2 linked regions of the Schizosaccharomyces pombe genome follow. Changing the gene in region 1 together with any one later gene gives a genetic interaction. Each region holds a gene or a part of one and is shown in the gene's direction. Other genes may lie near its edges. The genes, in order: deg1 and san1.

Region 1 (5,940 bases):
TTACAAGTTTTCAATTTTAGATTTAGCATACCTAACTAAGGAAATTTATACCGATCAAACATGCGTCCTCGTCAAAGATTTCGTCGTTTTCATCCTCGTTGGTCAAAAGTTAACCTTCGAGGCTTCGGTGGTGTCGGCGCTTTGAAAGGTGTTAAGGCCCTAAATGGAATGAACGTACGCGTTTCCATGAGATTAAAATGGATCTCAAATCGTATCCATCGCATTCGCAGGAGTCGCCGCTTGGGGCGCCTTTCTATAAGTGTCCGTCCTAATGGTTCCTGGCAGGTATATTTATTAAGCTCTCTTCCATTAAGGAGCCTTTCTCGTGTCTGGGGACAATTTAACAGAGCTCATTTACCTACTTTTTTGCGTACACCCGGATTTAAACTATATGCTTGGGTTTTTGGATGCAATTTAAGCGAATTGAAGGATCCTGATTTGACTCATTACCGTAATTTTCAAGATTTCTTTTGCCGTGAGCTTCGTCCAGAGACTAGACCCGTTGATCCTGTTTCTCCTGTCGTATCACCGGTAGATGGCCGTATCGTTTGTCAGGGAGTTGTCGATAATAATCGAATTCAGCATGTCAAAGGTCTTTCTTACTCTCTTGAAGCTCTTTTAGGAGGTATATCAAGTTCGAATCCTTTAGTCGTCAACTTTGAGGATGAAATAACTCCTGATCTTATTCAAAAGCACGAGCAATTTGCTGAACAACACTCAATTTCCTTAAATTCTAATAACCGCTATCGTAAAGCTGATGCTTCAGCTGCCGTTGTGGATGAACATTCTGACGAGGAAGCACTTCTTTGTGCTTTTACTGACCATCCGCATTTTTATCTTAATGACTCTCGTAATTCCTTAAATTATTTCTGTCCCTTTTCTGCCTTTGAAGATATTTCAAATTCCGTTCGTAGCTCATGCGGAAAACGACTCTCTCCCTCAAGCAATTTCGATCTGAATAACCTTGGAGGTGACGATGACTTGAGGAGTGAGTCATCTAGTGATTTTGAATCTGCTCCTGCTTCAATTCTTGAACACGAACCAACTAACTGGGATGATTGGGTACAAGAAGCTGACGTTACGGACATTGACTCATTACCTTGGCACAATATCCGTCCTGGCAATAAGCTGTTTTACTCTGTGATTTACTTAGCACCAGGTGACTATCATAGATTTCACTCTCCTGCTGATTGGGTTATTGAATCTAGGCGTCACTTTTCAGGTGAACTCTTTAGTGTTTCTCCATTTTTGGCGCGAAGACTACACAACCTTTTTGTGTTGAATGAACGCGTAGCATTATTGGGTCGTTACGAACATGGATTTATGAGTATGATTCCTGTAGGTGCAACCAATGTGGGTAGCATTGTCATTAATTGTGATCCTACTTTATCTACCAATCGCCTCGTCTTACGGAAGAAGTCATTAGGTACGTTTCAAGAAGCAGTTTACAAGAACGCTTCTCCTGTTTTAGACGGTATGCCAGTTAGTCGTGGCGAACAAGTTGGTGGGTTTCAACTCGGAAGTACCGTTGTTTTGGTATTCGAAGCACCTGCCGACTTTGAGTTTTCCACTTATCAAGGCCAATATGTTCGTGTTGGAGAGGCCCTCTAAACAGGATAAATCGGGATAATTTTTATTAATCGCTGGATTATCCCTGATATAAGTTATTGTTAGTATGAGAATGTGTGTATTCTAAATAATCATTTGTATGTGATGAATTAATTAAATTAACCCATTTGCTTTTGATCTTCTTTTTATTTAAATTGATATTGCGTTTATAAACCCATAATTATAGTTACTATTTACTTAATTACATTCCAATTTAAAGAATTGACACCCAATAAATTTATTTTATTGATACACCTTTAAAGTAGTAATGAAAATGTTTAAAAATAAGTATGGTTAGCTTGTTTTGACATAAGGTGGCATGTCTTCTTTTCAAAATTCGTAATTGATAATCATTACATATATACTAATATTTTGTTTATTCACAATCCAAAATTTGGACCTTAAAATTCATTAATAGATTGCTTTTAGATTAGAATATGAAATTGGAAGATGGTAGACGACTTAACGGACAAGAATTACTCTTTGGAAACATTTTGGACATTATAATAAAGGGCTCTGAATCCAAATACTTCTTGATTTGCGTGATAAACTTCATGAAGGTTTGAATCATCAACAGACCAGCCTAAGCTGGCAAATTTATTAACAGTTGGCAATAACAAGGGCTCAATTGAATCTTTCAAAACATTATTAAGAACTTCCAAATCTTTGGTTGTTCTTTGAGATGAAGGACTTGTGAGCCATACAGAGCAACGAGTCGATACCAAATCGTGAAGTGTCGGAATCCACGATGAAGAATAAAGTGGATGACTTATAAGAGGCATCGGAAGAAAAAAAGTATCATAGTAGGGGTCAAAAGGCTCAAAGGCTCCAACTCTATGCAAATTGTGGTAGTAATCCTGATGAAAATGAAGGCTGAGTGGGGAAGGCAAATTGGGTTGCTTAGAAGGAACAACAACTTCAGGTCCGATAAAATGCAATTGAAATAAACGACCTGGGAACAAAAAGTTCAATCCTTGTAACCAAATTGATGGTGGTAATGAACATTCTTTGGTAGCACCCAAAACGAAAATTCTAGTGGGTCTGGGATCAGTAGATTGAGCAGACAAAGGACGATGAAGCATATATCGTAGAGCAGTTAATGATTGTAGACCCTGGGGAGTTAACCCATTTTTTAAATTATAAGGAGAATTCTTGTGAAGGATAGCGCCGATTGACATGGGATATGTTAATAAACTAGTAATATGTCTAGCAGTTCTAGACGATTGGAACTTTGGGAAATCGCGGGTATAGAAGAATGAATCCCATGACAGAAGAGAAACTACTTCATCTTCTTCCATGGGTCCAGGAAGTTTGAGTAGTTCCGGCAAAGGGTTTGGTCGTGCTAAGTCATGATAGTCTTCATTAATTTGGCGTAGTTTTGGGATAAGGGATTGGTGAATCTTGTCCTGTTCCCAATGAGTTCTATTACAATGAGTAGGAAATCCAGATTCAGGACACTCATATTCCACTGACTTTCCCGAAATTGGACACCGATAGACTTGTTTGATATGCTCAGAGCGACGGCGAAGAGCCGTTAAGGGAGAACGCGATAAAGGATGGAATAATTCATGAGTTGGGGATTTCTTCTTGAAGAGATTTTTTAAAAACGACATAAGTAAAAAAAATATAAGCGAAACGTCACTCTTGAACCAAAAAACAACCTTCTACCGGTTTCAATGTAACTATAGGTAATGAAATAAATTTTTATGTCGGTGTTGCAGCTAAATTTAACAAGTATTGATTTAGGTGAACGTGTTTAGTAGCAGACGAAGAAACTAAAATTAAAAATGTCAAGGAACATAAAAAATACGTTAACAAGGCAAACTATTGAAATGCTTAGTAAAAAAAATTAACAAATTAGTTCGTAGAAGCAATTGCTTTGTTCATTAGCAACCGACATTCAGTAGCGAATTTTATTCTTTAAAAAAATATTAAGTATTGAGTTGACTCAACAAAGAGGTGATTTTCAATAATGTTGATATTAAAGAACTATCTAGTAAATCAATTGCATAACGGGAAATGCACTTTCTTTATTGGAAGTCTACAATGCAACTATAAGGAATACGAATCATCTCGAAAGTAGCTGTGTTAATCTAAGCTTCTATAATTTTCATTGCTCGTAATGTAAAGTGAACTCAATATTTTAGTAACAGTTCCAGCTGGCCCAACAAGACTGCAAACTGACCATACAGAATCCCAAAGCTGTTGTACTAATGAGCAACTAAAAATATATCTGATAAATTCTCAATGTTACATAGATGATTTATAACTTTACTGCGAAAATGTCTGCCTCTTATGACAAGCAAGTCATTAATTATCAGAGCCTTGCGAACCTATTCGTCTGCCACCTGACCTCGTCAAAGGCAGTAATTAAATTGGCAATATAATTCAGGCAAGATTTTTCAATTTTCTAAAATCCTTCGAATGCCCGCCTCCAAATATGCTGGATGGTCTCGAGACCAGCTAATATCCAGAATTTTAGAATTGGACGGGAAATTGCAAAAAAATACAAATTCACTTCCCAATAAAGAAATTGAGGGGAAAAATGAAGTAATTAAAAATAAAAACAAATTGGATAATGGAAATGAAATAGAACCCCAGCATCTGAGCCAAGAACTAGTTTTGCAACATGCGCTTCAGGACGCAAGTAGTCTTCCAAAACTGAAACCTGTCAGACCGTTTCAACTAGAAAAAACAGTTTTTGTTGCTTTTAAATTTGCCTATTGTGGTTGGAATTACAATGGTCTTGCCTACCAGTTAGAACCGACTCCTTTGCCCACTGTTGAAGGAAAGGTGTTTGAAGCGCTGTTGAGAGCTCATCTCATCACTGATCCTTCATCATGTTCCTTTAGTCGATGTGGACGTACTGATAAGGGAGTTTCAGCCATGGGTCAGGTTATATCATTAAATGTACGACATTCAGAAAGAAGACCTATCATATATTGTGATGTATTGAATCGCCTGTTGCCCGCAGATATACGTATTACTGGCTATGCATTTCCACCAGAAGGCTTTGATGCTCGATTTTCCTGTAAACAGCGTCATTATAAATACTTGTTTACTAAGGATTATCCCGGTGGTTCTCTTGACATTGATCGAATGAATGAAGCCGCAGCACTTTATCTAGGTGAGCATGACTTTCGAAATTTTTGCAAAATAGATGCTTCTAAACAAATTACAAATTATCACCGTCGAATTCTCAGTTCAAAGGTTATTTGCATTGATCCCAGTACCGGTCTTTACGCTTTTGACCTACAAGGAACTGCATTTTTATGGCATCAGGTACGATGTATGATGGCCATTCTATTTTTAATTGGTCAAAAGCTTGAGCCGGCCTCTCTCATCAATGATCTTTTGGATATTAAAAAGGTCCCTACTAAGCCAATTTATGATATGGCAAGTGAGTATCCTTTGATTTTGTACGACTGTGACTTTGATAATATTGAATGGACACTACCTACGGATAGTCCTACGACTGCTCCTCGTATCGCTAAACATACATATGAAACCATATATCATCAGTGGCATAGTCTACGTATTCGAGAGCAGATAGCTTCGTTTATGCTTGACATAGCAGATCATAATGTAAAAAGATATGGCAAATCGGAAGAGTCAAGCAGTACTATGAACGTTGGTGAAGGATTGCTGAAGCGAACAAAAAAGTACATCCCAATTCTTTCTAGACAACGTCAGGAATCAGTGGAGGTCGTCAATGAAAGATATAAACGTAAAAAAGGTTTAAAAGACAGTGACGTGAAGAGTGAAAATATTAAATAGATTGTCTTATGACAGAACAGGTTTTAGGTTAATTGCTAATTTTATTTTGGTCCAAAATATATTATCAATTTTAGTATAACCTTCTTAAATAATTAGTTGTAAGTAAGACTTATGATGTACTAAAATTATTTTGCTTTAAAAAGGTATTCCTTGTGTATGTAAGGGACAAGGGTTTCCGGAACTTTAACAGTGCCATCCTCTTGTTGGTGATTTTCAAGGATAGCTATTATTAACCTAGGGATGGCAGCTGCTGTGCCGTTCAGTGTGTGAACAAAACCCGAGTCTTTGTCATTTCGATATCGTGTGAGTAGACGCCTAGCTTGGTATTCAAGACAATTAGATGCTGAAGTTATCTCCCCGTATGATTGTCGCGCTGGCATCCACGCTTCGATGTCATATTTTTGAGAGGCCGAAGATCCCAATTCCGCAGTTGGCATATTCAAAATTCTATATTCGTTAGCATTAGATCATTAAAGTGGTATTTTTGTTAGATTTGATATGTACCTTGCGGGTATTTTTAAAGTTTCTACAAACTCTTTTTGAAAATTAACAATC
Region 2 (18,585 bases), on another chromosome or scaffold:
ATTTGATCCTTCCACTCCTGCATCCGCTTGTTTCTGTACATTTGTAAAAACTCATCATCTTCTTCGTCCTCAAGCTCTGCTAACTCATCTAGATCCTTGTTTTCCAACCGATTCTCGTGGGCAAGCTGCTTTGCATCGACCAACGCATCGTCTAAAACATCATCCACATCAGGTTCTTTTTCGGGTAAAATTCCCTTCGAACGTAAAATATCATTCCTGATTTGTTAACTTCTATTGTTACAACTATTCATCCTCCATACCATTCGGTATCTTCGTCAGGATTCATTTGGATATATTCCTTTTATTAATCCCGTTGCAAAGTGATGTGTGTATTTACCTATTATAGGAACGATTAACTAAACATGTTGCTTCAGTATTGTAGTATAACGAAGCATACTTAAATACGGTATTATCGATATCGATGGTACCGTAGGTTCGTTTGACTAGGTTGTAAACGCTTTGGGTACGTTGAATGTATCCAAAGCACGCGATTGTACAATATGGTAAAATCTACCACAGTTACTAGACTTGATGGTATGTATACCTACAAAGTGGGATTAGTTAATTTTCTGTTGCTGAAACCATAAAGACTGGTCTTCGTTGAGTAAAATGAGAGTTGTATGTTAAAATTATTTCGTGATTGCCTCAATTCTCAATTCTCATTTTTGCTTTTTTTTGCTTTCTATTTAACTAATACCCGTTCAAATGAAAATTACTTATAAATACTAACTGATGAATTTAAGGTCTTCCGCTTGCCGCTAGCGTGGATGATGAATCAACAGAAAGAAATTTGGAAAGCCATAAGAAACAAGCCAAATTGATCCTTAAAAGACTAAGTCCTACATCGGAAAAAAGGGCTTCTATTGAGTCTGGTGATTATACATTTCAGTAAGTTTAATTGTGTATACGAATAGCAAACGGAATCTCAATTTTAGATCTAACCAAACGTCTAGTTATCTCATCGACAACGGAATATGTTATTTATGTATTTGCGAACAGTCGTATCCTCGAAAATTAGCGTTTTCGTATCTGGAAGAACTTGCAGGCGAGTTTTGGAATAGTTTCGGCGAAGAAGCATTACAACCTGGATTACGTCCTTATGCATTTGTTCAATTTGGTATGCCTTTATTTATTGACTTAACTTATTTTTTTTGCGATTGAAATAACTAACAATTTCTAGACACCTTTATGCAAAAATCAAAAAGAGTTTATAATACCCCGCGTGCCAATGATAACCTTGATAAACTCAACACTGAGCTGAAAGATGTAACCCGTGTCATGACCAAGAATATTGAAGATTTACTGTATCGAGGTGATTCCTTAGAAAAAATGGCGGATCTCAGTTCAGATTTGCGTTACTCTAGTGCCAAGTACAAAAAAGCGGCTCGTCGCGTTAACTTGGAAGCACTTTGGAGGCAGTACGGCCCTGTTTCGATTATTGCCCTTTTGTTTCTGATTTTTGTCTATTGGCGTTTTTTCGCTTGATTCACGATTCTATTTACGGACGTTTAAGTTTAGGAATAAGAAATCTTTAATGACCTTTTCTTCAATATTTACAAACCAGAAACGAAATTCAATAATGGATCCCATAATTAGACATAGAAACAAAAAGTTTGCCCATCATTTGTTTTGTTTATTGTAGTAATTATTTTACCTTATTCATCTTTGCTGACATTTGTGCAACCTGCTTTGATTCACATCTGCTCTATCTATCTTGAGTCTGTTTGAACATAGCTAAATATTGTATAAACATATATGTATAGTTGAAGTGTTTGTTTTCCATCCCTTGTGCATCCTTTCCCATAACTAAGCTGGTTTATCGAATCGCACCGCTATGCCGTGTAGAGGAGAGTGTCTGAATGGCTATGGAAATATTCTAATAAACCCTCCTTAGCTTTTTATTTTTATTACTGTTTTAATTATAGCTCTATAAACGAATAAAATCAAGGTGTTGTTACCGCTATACATTATTTTTTATATTATTTCAGCCACCATACCCCAGTTTTTAAGTTTGTTTTGACGTTGTAAGCCAGCACTCAACTATTATATATAATGAACGCCTTGCTTTTCATCAACTTCTAGCAGTAATTATTGTCTCTCTTTTAACGTCGTATTCTAATTAATTCCCATTGAATCCTCGTGTACATTTATTATTCTATTTGTTAATTACGATTTTCGTGAGCAACTCCTTTTTTTGTAATTGCACAATTATTGTTAATGAAAAAAATTGTGCTATAATATAATGACAGAAAACGAAACACTTCAAAAATCCTCATGGAAACGACATTTTACATCCACCTTTCCAAATCGGGTTAAGAAAATATTCAAAATAAAACACTCTTCGTAAGTACTTAGAATCAAATTTTATTACTTTTTCTTTTCTTCCTTTATTCCCTTTGTCTTATTAGTATGTATGTTGGACATTAAAAGTTGCTGACTCCTTTCTTTAGATCGATACCTATCGTTCGTGTACAACCGCCCACACCCAGGAATTCTGCTCTCTTTACTACAGCCGATTTCATCTCATATACAACTGTATACAAAGTTTAGCATGCCATACATTAACTGAAAGACCCGACATGTAAAAGACTTTCATTCTTCCTAAATAACGAAAATTCCTAACATACTTTGTAAATCACCAGCATTGTTTACAACAACTTGCATAATTCCTTAATACTGATTGGTAGGGTAATGGCTTAAACCCGGATGATTCTCGATATTCCACATTAACGACTTTAGGGATTCAATAAATTACTTTGGTAAATGAAATGCCTGTGTTCGTAATACGGCTTATTGTAAGAGTAGCTGACATGTATTTATTAAATACCAGAATCTTGTATACAATTGCCAATTACCTATTCGTCTTGCTGAAAAGTAGTATACAAGAGGCTGGTATTGTAAGGGGGTTGCTTTATCTTGTTATTTAGATTGCCGATTTAAGTGTCACGCTCATAGACTACTAAAGCACATGGTCACAGCTTTTGTTTTCTTTCAAAATTTGTAAGCTGTGTGTTTAGTGATTTATGCCTACTTAAATTAATAATCCAGCGTTATATTTTTTTGGATTTAAGTGTTTTTTTGGTGTTTTACTGCTTTTCAAATTATGGCTGAATCTGGCGCTGGTTATCGAGTAGGTATGTGTTAATATGACACGTATATTTACGAGCATTTCAATGGATTCGCTTTAATAATTTATACATTAAATCCAATTTCTAACGATTGCAGAACTTGCAAAAACTGGCAGAGCAGAATGCAAAGGAACGGTTTGCGGAAGGTATATATAGCTATTTACCAGAATTTATGTAGTTGTCCAAATCATTATGCACAGCATTCGAAAAATAAAAGGAACTATCATCAGTTAACCATTTTTAGATCGAAAATAGGGAAAGGAGATCTAAGGTTTGGAACATTTGTCGATGTTGGTAAATTCCAAAGCTGGAAATGGAGGCATTGGGGATGTGTTACGGAACGTGTTCTTCGCAATGTAAACAAAAAATTTGAAGGAGATATTAAGAATTGTTTGGATGGATTTAATGAATTGAACGATCCTATAGTTCAAGAAAAAATCCTTCGCGCTTTTGAGCAAGGTCATGTTGATGAAGAAGATGAAGAACGATGCAGAAAAATGGCTTCCGACGCTTCTGAAGAAAAAGACAGGAAGATTGAAGAAGGAGAACTTACTTCTGAAGAGGAGAAAGAGCCCATACAAGATTTGAGAAAATCTCATAAGAGAAAAAGTGTTGAAAAGTCATCGGTCCCTAACAAAAAACATAAAGCCGAAAGGAAGCGATCTCCATCTCCAAAAATTGAAATACTTGAAGATGATGAGGAGATAGAAGATGTTGCATCTGACAAAGACGAGGAAGAAAAACCATGGTCTGGCGATGAAGAAGACGATGATGAGTTAGTCGTTAAGGATAGTGAAGATGAAACAGAAGGAGTCTCCACTATTGCTTCCCAGCGACCTAGGCGGTCTGCAAGGTATGTGAAATTATATGGCAGCACTACTAATACAAGTAAAAGGCGAAAAGTGGATTACGCAGAAAGCGGAAATGAATATTCTGACAGTGATTAAAAACATGCTTTCAATCATTTCTGCTTTATTCTTGTTTTTTTTTAACACTTCAGCAGAATCTTTATCTACATGGAATTTCCTTCGATCCTAATTAAATTGTATACTTTTATGAAATAATAAAGTCCATGTCATTTTCATTATTTTACAAATTAAACTCTATCGCCTTGGTGCAACTTTAAAAATACTCAGAATCACAACTCCGTTAATATAATTTCTAATCCTCTTATCAATTCGCACTTATTAAAGAAGTTGTTGAAATAGTGAATTATCTTACCACACAAGGTATTGATTCCATACGGCTAGACACTGTATATCATTTGTACGAATTATCTAGAGTTAACTTTAAAAAATACCCTATAACAAAAAAAGATAAAACTTCGATACATCGATTTTTTCAGAAAGAGCAGCTTTCATTGTTCGTGTTGGTATCACAAAGTACCTCAGCACACCACCCAACATTGCAGCCTGCAGTTCATAAACATCGCCAGTTGTCTTCTCATAGCTGTAAATTGTTCCTAGGAAGTTTCAAACTTAAAAAGTTTGTTTGTTCATATTTAAAATCCAATTTATACCCCTAAATATAAAAAAACTACAGAGTTCAACCTAAATTAAATAGGTTCGAATTCTGACAACCAGTGTTCACAAACATGTATGATGATATTTTCTTTTATTTAGCTTTATGGGTTATACAAAGCGTTTATGGTGCCTGGGATTGGGCAAAAAATTGGGTTTTTTGGACATGCAGTTATTTACTGAATTTTTTGTATCATCACCATTGTAGTAGAGATCTTATAAGACGCGATACGAAAAAATTAAAGAAGAAACCAAAACACATCGCCGTTATTATTGAGTGTGTAGAAGATGGAGGTATAGAGGGCCTTATTCATGATGCTTGTGAATTATCTGCTTGGTGTGTTTGTTCTAATATTCGCGAACTTACGATTTATGAACGTAAAGGTATATAATTGCAGTTGAAGTTTTGAAATTCCATTACTATTTGATTACATTTATTAACAGATTTTAGGGTTTTTAAAGCAATCTCCCGAAGCTGTTGAAAAAGCTATTTACTCTCACCTGCCATTCTATCTTGGAGGTGACAAGTGTACCGTCCATGTAACTAATCCTTGCTCTCCTGATGAAAAAAATCAAAATGACTGTGTCGATTTAAAGGTTCATCTTATAGCGAAAGAAGATGGTCGAGATGCTATCATCGATTTAACTAGAGGTTTAGCGGATTTATGTACTAAAAAAGTTATCAGTAGCACCCAAGTTACACTGGAATTGATTGATAAAGAATTGAAGGAGAGCGTAATACCTGAACCAGACTTACTAATCATATTTGCTCCTCTGCTTAAGTTGCAAGGATTTCCACCTTGGCAGCTTAGATTATGTGAAATATTTCATGATCCTATTTTATATACAACAAATTACCTAACATTCTTTAAAGCACTTGTTCATTACTCGAATGCAGAAATGCGGTTAGGGCACTGAGGTTTTATAAATTTAAATATGAAAAGCCAAAAGCTACCAAAAATTTATCAAGTTGTCTTCTTGAGGTTTTTGTTACTTCTTGTCTAAAATGCTTTTTGGATTTTGTTAATAAAATTAGGAATTCAGTATTACAGAAAAATTTAATTTACTTCAAATGCTTAGATGATAGGCATTAACAAAATTAAACAGACAGGCAGTCAGATTCATACTTTGGATATTATATGCATTACAGTTTTAAAAAAATTTAATAAACATTTTCGTTAGAAGAATATTATAAAACTTAAATTAACAACTAAACATTCACTTTCGAATACGATCTTTTAGAAAACCAGGCTTGCTACACAATAAGAATCTTCGTTAAGGTTCCTTATTCGCATACTGTCAAACCCCTGCTGAGATGTTCACCTCTTTGGATCGAAACCTTTACGTTGATAACCATATCACGTTGACGAAAATGGACTATCAAAATACGGAGACAATTGCCGAGCAGGAAAGGAATGCTAGTAGGCTACCGCAGATGTTTCAAATGTCTTCGCATCCTGTAGCTCTTTTCTTCTTTCTTTTATTTCGTACCGGTGCAATTGTGGCATACATATTGGGCATGTTCTTTACCTCAAGTTTGTAAGTTTTTAATAGCAGAAATTTAAAAGAAAAAGAAATTGAGCTAAACAAATAAAAATAGTATGTTGTTGTTTATTGTAATTTTCACTTTGCTAGCTGTTGATCTTTGGACTGTTAAAAACGTCTCTGGTCGTTTACTAGTTGGTTTGAGATGGAGAAATGAAACTGGAGTTGATGGTGAAAGCATTTGGATTTTCGAATCGGCAGATCCCAGTCGTCCCAGAAACGCCGTTGATCAGAAGACGTTTTGGTACGCTCTCTATCTATATCCATTTATTTGGATCATATTGGGGATTGTAGCTATAATTCGATTTGAATTTCTCTGGCTTGCACTCGTTGCTGTCGCAATTGGACTGACAAGTGTTAACACCGCTGCTTACAGTCGTTGTGACAAAGACGCGAAGCGTCGTTGGGCTACAGAACTTGCAGATTCCAATTCTTCTGGATTTGTTTCCAGATTTTTATCTAGGGCTTTTATCAAGAGATTTATTGGTTAAAGCTCTTTCAAATTCTGTAAATAATTTTTCGAACTACATTGCATTTTAAGCTCATTGTATATGAAAAAGCTAATTTCATGGGATTCTGGCTTAACGATTTGCTTGTTAATTAAATTGACGAAAGCGCTGGAACGATATTGTGTTTTTACTTCCCAACTTTGAAATGACAGAGCGTCAATTTGAATCCTTAAGCATCAACTGATTACGTATTTTTATAATACAAAAGCCAAAAGACTGTATGACGGATCCTGTATTTTAGTATGAGTTTATATAACCTCCCATACTGTTACTTTCAAGCATATATCTTCTTTTCTGATTGAATATTTGAATAGAGCCCAATGGTTATTTTTAGGTGCACATTACGTTCTTTTATTCATACATTCTTTTATGGTTAATACTATCACACAAAGTTTCATGAAGGCCAACTGAGATCTTTTGAAACCCACTACATTTATTTTTCCATTGATAACATTCTTAGTTAGACTTCAAATATTTACGCATGGAGTGCTTAATAAGATACCGATGAACGAAACTTCAAAGTTTGGTGCTACTTTTTATTTCGACAACTATGTTCCTGCGTGTGTTTGCTGTGAACTTAAAATTTAATACTTTCTTATTAGTGATGAACATATATTGAAACGAAGTTCTTATAACAGCATAATAAAAGCGGAAAGAATATGTAATTGTTAGTTTCTAATATACATATTTTAAATGGCAAAATATGTATTTAGATGATTCCTTTACTAAAGAGCATATCATTTTTTTAGTACATATATAAAGCATTAGCTTAAATGTCAATTATAAATTCAAGGATATGCGGTTTCTTACACGATTCGCAGAATTTCGGTTTTCATATGCTTTATGTCAACAAACCTCCCAACTATCAAATAAGGAGAACCTTTTATAACTCCTTAAAAATATTAAGGTATTGAATGTCCTAATGAACGCCCACATGTTCACTGTCTCTATTGGCAATATATAATGGAAGTCCCTGGTTTTCTATTTTGTTCAACACCACATTTTGCACCTTAAAAGATAGTTTAAGTGGAAAGGTGCACTTTATAACATTCTATAACGTCTTTTATTTTCTATTTACTTTTTTTTTTGCTTGCCTAAATAAATATTGAAATATTCAGTGGCCAGAAAACCCCGATGGAGAATGTTACATTTTCCTTACCATTAAATTTTTGATTCCTGTTTTTTTATTACCGCAGCAATCATATTTTACCATATTCCTCCTTTGTATATAATAAGTCTCCTACAAATATTTCCTTTGTCTTATTTGTTGTTTTTATTTTGAGTACTGCTTTATTTATTTAGATTCGACTTTATTGTGGTCGTTTTATTTCTTTTTTTTGGTTTTATTATTAGACCACTGAGGTACTAGTTTTTTGTATAGAATCTCCTGTTACAATTATCTGTTTTAAATGGATTCCAATACAAATGAGAATAATTCTCATGCATCATCAAACGAGAGACAATCATCTGAAGGGCATGATGACTATTTGAATCGTAATCCAAACAGTGAAGCAACTGAGGGTGAAGAAGGTACCCACCCTACCACGGGGACTCAACCAGTTGCTTTTTCAATTGGTACAATGTTTATCATAACTCCTCAAGCCAATTTCGAGGGTGGAGAAAATGATCCGTTTGCCAATCCCTTTCAACCACCCGTAAAACGCGCTGTAAAAGAAGCCTGGGATTCTTTCGAACCTTTGTCTAATGACCAACTGATGGATTTGACTTGTCCGATCTGTTACGATGATATGAATGAAAATGATGAAAAGCAGGCTACCAAGATGCCATGTGGCCACATATTCGGTAAAAATTGTTTACAAAAATGGCTTGAAAATCATTGTACATGTCCTCTTTGTAGAAAAGAGGTTCCCCACGAAACAGTAGGTTCAGCTCATCCTCCTATTTTATTTATCATTCCACACTCACATACGCTTCGTGGCAACCAAGGCAACACCGCGGTTTCTCAAGAAAATGCATCAAATGGTGTTCATTCCGACTTTCATCCATCTGAGGAGCTTAACAATGCAAACACTGATGGTCGAACCGGCGTAGACGAACCAGCTCGGCAACTGCATCGCATTGCTTTTAACCGAATACGTTTTATTCTAGCTCCAAATCGATCTGCCACCAATACCCCTGTTGAAAATACTCACCCTGAAAACCCTGACTCAAACACCTCAACACCTACTACTCGTAGTGAGCCCTTAGCAGGAGAAGGTGCCTCTATTGATGCCGAAAATGCTAGCTCTAGACAAGAGACTACTCCTTCGGATTCTCGTCCTTCGACGCTTACGTCCTTATTTAATGCTTTCTTTTCATCTATGCCTGATCGCCCTTCCTCTAATGAACCTATGACTTCGAATCTTACCTCTAATTCTGGTAGTATGACGAATAGTACTTCCACAGACTTGCCAACTAGTAACTTGCCCTCTCAAAATGCTCCAGCTAGACCAGTTGAGCCGTCACCTTCAATACAGCCTCCCAATTTGCTAAATCTTCCAACGGCTTCGCCTGAATCAACTTCATGGCTTCCTGGAAGCCAAACAAATATCCCTGCAAATACGAATCGATCTGAAAGGCCTTTTACACAGTTAATGACGTTCCATGGTCTTCCTTCATTAGCCGATTTACCAGCTGTTCTTGAGTCTATGTTCCGTCCTAGCGGTAATAATAACCTGCTTAATTTAAATGGAATTTTCCATCCCGATCACAATGCGCAGACTGAAAACGGTCAAACGTTGCCAGAGAATACTGACGACACCAACAGCAACGCTACGTCCGCAGTTCCCAATCTACAGAATTTAAATCAGCAAAATGCTGTAACTATGGGTACAAATACACCAAATAATGGTTCCTCCCCTGCTGTTCATCCAGTAATTCATATATACTTGTCGAGACCGCCTTTACAACCTGCAGTTAGCGAACAGGAAACTCCTTCTGAAGCGGTTTCAAGGGAAGGTACTAGAAGTACAGATGCTACGATGGAAGATTCAAGTAGACCTCCAAGCAATGGCTCTTTCCAAGGTCCTGGTATTACCCATCTCAGTGAAATGGGGCAGCGCATTTTGCAAAGGTTTCAGGAAGAAATGGAGAATCGAATGAATCAAACTAGAAGTGAATCGAGCACCCCTGCTCAGCAATCAGCTGCTGGAAGCAGCATTAATGTTGACACTGCCGGGCGACAACCTTCCGATGAGATAAATATTCCTGGCGAATACGAAAACTCGAGTGAAGTTGCAGGATCACGAAATCAAACTCCTACCCATTCTTCCATTGCTGTAGACACCTTGAGTAATGTTGCGGTAGACCAGCCTGCGATATCCACTCCGTCGGACGTTGTTGGTAGTGATGCCGGTGATACTAGCAAGGTTTCGTCGGGAACTAGCACTCCTCGAATGGCTGCTCCGATTGCTAGACGATCAAATCGGCATCATCCGTATAGCAGACCTAGCTCAACGCGTCCTCAGTGTCAGCTTGAGGATCAAGGCATTTGTGATCCTAATGATAGATTTGTGCACTTCGAATGCGGTCATTCAGTACATGAAAGATGCCAGCAATCTACTAGCAACTCCGAAAATCAAATGGACGAAGAAATTGGAGAATGCCCAAAATGTCGTAATGAAGAGCATAAGTAATGTTTGTGTTTTTTTACTCTTTTGTTATCTTTATCATGAAAAATATAGTTGTTTGTTTATTATGCCTTTTTAAATCTTCAATACAAATTTGGTGATGTCCCTTTAGAGTATCAATATTTCATGCTATATAGATTTTTATTGTTTTTGTATTATTTATATCTCAATACTTATCATCTATATTATTTGCTCTCCTATAAACTAAATGATTATTTGACTATTACAAAAAATCTCATTATTTTTTTCAACGTTCATTAATAGTTTTGTTTGGTACCAAGGAATTTATTATTATAAGATTAAATGACTCAATGAGTTAAAGAATTAAAATATGAAAGATAGCGGATGTTGTAAAGGTCTCCTAAATTCTAAAATGCCACCCAACATGGGATCGTCTACACCAATAAATAAACTGTCGCCAGAAGATGAGTAAGCGGTTCCGGCGATTTCTCCAAAAAAGTCAATAACTTGGGATGTATTAAATAATTTAGTATCAAAAAGTTGAACAAAATCGGCTTGTTCCGTGACAGCTAAGCTTTCACCTAATGGAGAAAAGCACAAATTCGTCACAGCACTCATTTGGCTACCTAGATTTCGAAACGACTTACCAAGGGCACGTATGTCCCAAACTTTAGCCGTTGTATCTTGTCCTCCAGTAGCCAAAATATTTCCATTTGGATGCCACGAACCAGTAAGTACAGAGTCGGAATGGGGAAGTTTGGCTGAAACGGAATTTGATCTAATATCTATTAACATGGCGTCTTTCGAATCCGTGCATACAAGCGCTAATGGAGTTTCATCAAAAAGTTGGACGCAGTTAACAGCATTTGAACACCTGTAAACAAGAATGGGGCTAGTACGCTGGACATCTTCCACATAAACAGCACCATCATTACAGCCAAGGATGAATTTTTTTTCGGAAAAAAGTTGAATATGATTAATCGAATCATCTGAAAGCTTACGAGTACTAAAACTTCCGTTTTTAAAATTGAAAATACAATATTGTCCATACAATGTTCCCAGACATCCTACGGCATTTGTAGTATCCAAACATGATATCGCTTTTTTCTGAAGGATATTATTCTTAAGGTCAATGATTTGAACAGAATTATCATGCAATGTGTTTTCCATTCTGATGCTGTTATTGCTCACATAAATGACAGAATGCTCACCAACCACCTTTACGCTTTTGCAAAGATGGTGATGATTCCGCAAGCAATTAGGATTTTTCAAAAATCTTTGAAATTCATAAAACGAGTCTTCAGCGGCGACTTGTACAGTATCTAGCGATAGCTCTTCGGGTGACCAGTCTGAATGATTGCAAGACAGGCTATAAGTGTGTAATCGATAAAGACGAAAGTTTTTCCGTTTACCAATTGCTTTATTTCCCCAGGGAATTCCTTGAAAATCCACTGTCCCACAATTATCGGTGCTTTTTGGGTTCAATTCAAAATTTGATGCAGTGGGGAATCCATAGTGGTCTAACTGAATTAAATTCCGGTTTCCTGTATACCAAGAAGTGTAAAAATAATCATCTAGATAATCTTGAAGTATAGCTCCACTTTCAGCTAGTTTTAGCATTAGCTTTCAGAGCAACCAACGGACTGCACGTTTAATTTACTTACGAAGCAAATACTGGTCTATAAATTCTCCATTGGACATATAGAAATATTTAATTTAAAATAAATATTATCTGTATGGCTGTAGAACAAAAAGGAAATCAAATAAAAAATTAGAGAAGGACAAGATCGCCTCATGGAAGAAATGAGAGAAGGACAATCGACGTTGCAAGGACCAATTGACTCTTTCGCTAACGATTTTCGGCAATTAATCTTAAAGATTTTATACGTATGAACCTAAGTGAAAACAAAATAAGCATAAAGAGGTCTTTAGCTCAAAGGTATAAAATTATCATAAACAGAGGCGTAACCAAAATTGCAAAGCCAATTTCGTTTGTCAATGGACGAAAACCTCCAATTGATCTTTCTAAGTTTTAAAAATCACCAATGTTGATCGTTTTGAATTTAAACAAATATACATACTTAAAGAGGTACGGCCAAAACATTAACCATTATGCTGAAGCATCACTGAAAAGAAAAGCTCGCTAATTATTTTGGATTTATTTAAGGTTTTTTGAAGAGAATGAAATCCTTCAGAATATAGAGAACGAAGTTGATTCACGAAGCCGAAGGTGGACGTCTCCATTGAGTAATATGTACGAGAAACACTTGCAATCTAAATCTACATTGCAACTCTATCAATTTCCAAAACGATCCTGATTTAGGGTAGATGTCTTGGTTTGCTATCGGCTGGGCTCGTTTCTCTATAGGATTTTACTTTTCTGGTTTTACCATTCTATATAAAATTAAGACTAGGATGTTAACAGACTTAATTTAATCCATACGATTAGTCTTTAAGTAATGTTACCTCAAATTAAAAGCATTCCATTCAAAATTTATATTATTGTTGCTTATTGTAAAACTAACACCCAAGAATTCGCATTTAAATTGGTCCCTTTTGGAAAAAGGATAAATAGTTTTTCATAAATCAAAAGCTTTTTGAAGCAATTACAAAGATTGCCCTCCCACAGGTCGGTAATCGTAATTTGAAATTACAGAAGAACGTTTTACTATAACCTTTTTAAATATATAAAAAAAAGCAAATAAAGTAATTCTAATAAACAATATTATGCCTACGAGCACACTAGACGAAAACAGCAGTTTCTGTCCGACCACTGTATTTGAGGTCGAAGGGTTTTACGTTAGTTCGGTACTACAGAGCTTCTTTTCCTATTAATTTCCTATCTCATAGTGACAACTATAATTTTCACTGTACTTTGTGGATTTGAAGGTTCATTGTCATCAATATTTGTCAAATCACGTTTATAGCCAACACAACACCATTAGTATCAAAAGTGGGATTTTGCAAAGCGAACAAAAAGAGCAAGATTTACAATTTTCAAAAAAAAAGTGAGAAACTCGCATTTTTGGCTAGAGTTTATTAGTGGCCTAGTATATTCACGCGTCTGTAATGTTTCAAATGGATAATAATTCATCTATAAACCAAAATCAAATCAAAACGTAAAGCAACTCCAACACAAATATTAGCATATTCTCTAAATTGATGTTTAAACAATCAATCAATATAGGACTTCTGTCTACAAATATAGTAATATATTTTGCAAGCAAAAATGCTCCAATATTGACAAAAGCATAAAGGCACAAACTCCTCCTTTCGAATGAACTTAGCAATCATTATTGAGTTGACATTATTCTTCCATCTGAGCTTAAAAGTACGCATCACTGGCCAAATCAGTCATTAGTGTAGAATGCGTAGGCTTCCAACCTAAACGTTGCTGCGTAAGAATACTTGAAGTTGGATTATCAACAGACAAAAAGCTGGAAAGAAATCCAAAATGTTCGGTGGCTTCTTCAGAAGATACGGAGATGACAGGTATATCAAGTCGTTTGCCAATCATGCCTGCGATTTCTTTGATCGGAATACCTTCTTCGGCAACAGCATGATAAATGGAACCAGCAGTTTCTTTTTCTAGAGCTAATACAAACAAATTAGCAGCATCAGTTCTATGAACGGCAGGCCAACAATTCATACCATTACCGATATAAGCAGAAACACCTTTATTTTTGGCCACGTTAATGAGCATGGGCACAAATGCGTGATCTCCTGCTCCATGAACGGTAGGTGGAAGGCGAAGGATTGAAGCACGTACTCCTTGAGATGCAAATTTAAGAGTTGTCACCTCTCCTAATTGGCGTGGAATTGGTGGTTGGGGAACTTCACTTATCTCGGTGCCTAACTTACCGTTGGAAGAAAGCACAGCGGTTACAGAAGTGGTAATCAAAGGACGCTCAGTTCCTCTAAGGACTTCGCCGATAGCTTCAATGACACGAGCGTCAAGCTTACAGGCCTCTTGATATATACTAAAGTCGTGAACGAAAGCCGTGTGAATAACGCCATCACATTGCGCTACTCCTTTTTTCAGTGTATCCAAATCTTCAAGTGTACCAATGTAAGGTGTGCCTCCAGCAGCTCTGAGTTTTGCCGCGTTTTCTTCTGAGCGCACCAGACCAACCACTTCATGTCCGGCTTCAAGAAGCTGTCTCACTATTTCAGAGCCAATAAACCCAGCTGCACCAGTTACAAATATACGCATAATTGCTTAAGAAGATACTGTTCTCGGATCACCTCCTTATGTACGAATACATACTCATTGGTATAAAGTAAATTAAACGATATATAAAGACCACAGGTAAGCGATCATGACGTAAAAGAGCGACAGTTTATTCTTCCTATATGACTAAGCTTGTTAATCAGTAACGAACAAATGGAGGATTTAAAAAAGATGCAAGCATATATTAATTAACAAAAAGAAGTGAGCATGCAGAATACTGGATTCCTTAGGTCTCCAACCATAGTATTTATGAGGCCTTGGAGCATTTAGCTGCAAATGATCGAACAGGAACTGGTGTTTCCTCGCCTAGGACGTTATGAAAAAACCTATTGTTGACGATCGGTCATTTATATTCTATTTTATTTAATCGTATAAGGTGATCATTGGAAGAAATATATGTTGTCTCACGTTTTAGCATATTACGATCTGTAATCCTTAGTAACATGGACCTGTAATAGACGGCCTCGTTCTTTCTATACTCTTCTTTGGTTTTACTGTCAGGGTCTCTTTGCTCTTTGCGATGAATACAAAGAGTACGAATCCGCTAAGAATTATAACGAACGGTGAGAATACTCGATAAAATCAGATGTGTTTGCTGGTCATTTCCACGGTCTATCTAGCACAATGAGTGCTGCTGGATTTGCTCGATATAGACTCATCCGGCGCTTGGCGATCTATGGGTATGGATGATTTTCTGTTGCCTGAAAGCCGACTGGCTGATCGCGCTAAATTTCCTGCATGAGATTTCCAGTAATATGACTATTTACTGCTAAAATTAAGTGTGCTATAATGTTTTCGTTACTTATCTCAAGCTATACATCAAGTGGGAGGTATAAGCTCTTCTGTTATATATACGTTACCATTAAAAACAGTGTTTTGGCCAGCTTTCACCAAGCGCAAAAAACATACATGTTAACGAAACAATTCAATTGTTTTTTTTTTAAACTCTATGGTTCATGAACAAATCTTGCAATCATTGATAACCTTACTGATGCTACAGAAAAACTAAATCTCGGCGAAACAATTTTTTACATTATTCAAATGACATCGTAGTAATCGTTAATTCCTTCAATAATTAAACAAGATAACTCAACACACACTATAGTTACGGAATAATAAATAGATTTTGCTAACTTAGGTGCTGTAACATTACTTTCAGTTTGCCTTGTCAACAAGTTTAAATAGCAAATTAAAAGAAACTAGTTTGTTTGAAACTATAAAACCTTTTAGCTTAAAAACGAAATGAAAAATTTTCCTAATTTTATCAATAAAGTAGTTTTTATTTTATTAAGTATTGTTAGTGAAATACAATTGCGATGCATGTCAAGAAGCTCTTAATTCACTATACATGTTTTAAAGTCGCAATACCTTTTAAAGTTAACAATAACTGTTGGAAAAATCATTCCGTTCTTTTCTATTTTATTTACGTTGTGTAATATTAACATCTAAGGGTTTTGCTTTGTGAAATCAAGTGTCATTCTAGTGTTTCCCTCTACCTCCATTTAACTGCAGACGTCCTAAAGAGTTGGTGGACTCAATTCATGGCTTGATGACTACAGACGTTAAAGAAAAAGCTACATTTAAGTTGTTAGATTTAATAGACAGTGTATGTGGATTTGAAAAGTGACATGCTAATGATAATGTGTTAAAGGTTACTGGGAAAAAAAGTTTGCTCTTGGAACGTGATCTGTCAGGAATTTTAGGTCAAATAGTTACTACCAATACTTTACAAGAACATGGAATACCTCAGGTTTATTGGTTTAATGAAAATATTCCAAATGATATTGAGAAAAAGACAATCTACTTGTGCAGACCAACTTATGAAAATGCCAAACTAGTTGCTACTCATGTTCGTCAATTTCAAAGGGATATGTTACGCATTGAGAGCACAGTAATTGTTTTGCCTACCTCAAATATCCTCTTTGAGACGGTACTGCAAGAGGAGGGTGTGTTTGGAGAATTACTTGTGACTGAATGGCCGTTACATGCCGTACCCTTGGACAAGGACCTTTTGTCATTAGAACTTGGTCCAGAGAAATTGGAAGAAAGCTTACTTCAACGAAGTACAGATGCTTTAATTGATTTTGAACGCACTCATGGACGGTTTCCTCGAGTCTCTGGGAGGGGCCCCTATGCTGCAAAAATGTTGGAATTATTAGAAAAAACATACCAGGAAGAAGCAACAATAAACTTTGGGAAGGTGGAAGGAGAGATTTCTGCTCTCTACGATAGCGTTCTTTTAGTTGATCGATCATTAGATCGTATTACACCGTTTTTGACTCAACTTACCTACTTTGGATTTTTGGACGAAATACTTGGAATTCAGCAAAGTATGATTCATATTTGTTTATTATTTATCTAACTGATTAGTGAATGTCAAACTTCCTTCATCCTTGGTTAACCGAAATGAAGCTTCAAATACTGGACCGATGAAAAAGTTTTCTTTAAGTTCTTCTTCCAGCCAAATTACCAAGGAAATTAGAGACATAAATTTTAATTGCATAGGCCCTTATTTAAGCAAAATTGCTCGAAAACTATCCAGCGATTTTGAAGGTCGACGTCAAGCCAAAACTGTAAATCAGATTAGAGACTTCGTTTCCAAACTGGGTTCCTTACAATCGGAGCATACATCATTAAATATTCGTAAGTATTTTTTTCTTTTGATTTCCATAAAAAATTTTATTAATTAGATAGACACTGGTCTCGCTGAAACTTTGGTGCAACACACAAAAAATAATTACTTTCAAAAGCTACTACAACTTCAGCATTTGCTAGTTTCTCATGCCGATTCTTTTACTCAATTCAATTTATTAGATGAAATTATCTATGCCGAAGCACCTGTTGAAGAGGTTTTTCGAGTACTTTGCCTTGCAAGTATAACTACCAATGGTTTGAGAAGAAAAGATATAGATCATTACCGTAGGGAAATCACTCAAACATATGGTTATTATCACCTTTTAACATTCCAAGCCTTGATAGATGCAGGACTATTGCGCCTCCGGCAATCCACTAATATTTCACTTCAAAAATCATTGTCTTATTCTACATGGTTAAACACTTATCCTTTGGTTAAGGACGAAGTTGATGAGCAGAATCCTGAAGATATAGCCTATACGTACAGCGGGTACGGTCCTTTGTCAGTCCACATAGCATATGACATTTTAAAAGGCAGAGACAATGAAGAAAAAATTCTTAAGTTGCAAAATATGCCTGGAACTTACGTTGACAAGTGGACATTAGACCAGGAAAAGGTCATGCCTAAAAATTTGAAGACAAACGTACCAGGTAAACGTCGTGTTTTAGTTTTTTTCATCGGTGGTTGCACGTACACAGAGCTGGCTGCATTTCGTTTATTGCAAGAAAAAGAAGATTTATATGAATTCACATTTATGACTACGGGAATGGTAACTGGAAGCTCTCTAATAAGAGCTTTTATTCCAAATATTGAATCTTTGAATGAGTGATGATCACCCAGTTTCATTAATTTGTTCAACAGCTAAAGACGATATTTAATCTCATTTTTTTTCACTAAGAGAATCCCATAATTTTAATTATTGTTTTTTTTATTAACCCACTTTATTAAGTCCTTAGTAGTTTATGAATTTGAAGTGGCATTAAAGCTTTCCCTATATGCTGTTAAGCTATTTGCTATTTACTGCCAAAATATTAGCTTACATATTAAATAATAAACCTCCAATATTTGGCAGCTAATGGCTTATTGTATCAATCAAATCACCTTTTTTTTGTTTTGGATATTCAGTGGCTTTTGGTATTGTTTACAATAAATGTAAAGTTAAAGCTTTCAAAATTATTAGAGATTACTTTTCTCGTACTGTTAATGGGTTTATTTTGAAATATGCACATTTATAGCTTTTTGCTGCAAGCTTCGTAACATTAAATTTTATTTTATTTGAAAATTCCAGTTTCTCATTTAGCTACTAATTTTTACAAACATTAATTGTCAATATTTGGTTGTCATGACAACGAGTGTACGTACTCAATATTAATCCTTCTTTTACTGTATTATAGATGTATGCAAACAATTCACAATGTCTTCGTCTG

Evidence for each region.
Region 2: mutations in deg1 (region 1) and san1 together harm fitness more than expected from each alone (negative genetic interaction), as found in Schizosaccharomyces pombe (one large-scale study listed by BioGRID).

What each region holds. Positions count from the first base shown.
Region 1 is NC_003424.3:4,158,768-4,164,707, forward strand, and holds deg1 (tRNA-pseudouridine synthase), read left to right. Parts: upstream 1-3,951; 5' UTR 3,952-4,032; coding exon 4,033-5,385; 3' UTR 5,386-5,440; downstream 5,441-5,940. Other genes in the region: phosphatidylserine decarboxylase Psd2, read left to right, coding at 61-1,611; splicing suppressor Mss51, read right to left, coding at 2,085-3,221; dia4 (serine--tRNA (Ser) ligase), read right to left, coding at 5,511-5,832, 5,890-5,940.
Region 2 is NC_003423.3:2,944,568-2,963,152, reverse strand, and holds san1 (RING finger protein), read left to right. Parts: upstream 1-7,694; 5' UTR 7,695-8,111; coding exon 8,112-10,337; 3' UTR 10,338-10,558; downstream 10,559-18,585. Other genes in the region: plp2 (phosducin family protein), read right to left, coding at 1-216, 261-286; SNARE protein Sec22, read left to right, coding at 501-534, 744-888, 954-1,117, 1,181-1,485; SPOM_SPBC2A9.14 (uncharacterized protein), read left to right, coding at 2,243-2,343, 2,451-2,550; SPOM_SPBC2A9.13 (uncharacterized protein), read right to left, coding at 2,424-2,533, 2,628-2,664; hpz1 (zf-PARP type zinc finger protein Hpz1, implicated in DNA repair), read left to right, coding at 3,104-3,134, 3,226-3,274, 3,373-3,981, 4,024-4,075; nus1 (ditrans,polycis-decaprenylcistransferase), read left to right, coding at 4,723-5,032, 5,100-5,566; putative transport protein Tvp23, read left to right, coding at 6,021-6,187, 6,249-6,684; SPOM_SPBC2A9.03 (WD repeat-containing protein), read right to left, coding at 10,656-11,899, 11,957-11,993; SPOM_SPBC2A9.02 (NAD-dependent epimerase/dehydratase family protein), read right to left, coding at 13,618-14,505; HOPS/CORVET complex subunit, vacuolar sorting protein Vps33, read left to right, coding at 16,073-16,129, 16,175-16,853, 16,894-17,166, 17,218-17,987; and 1 more.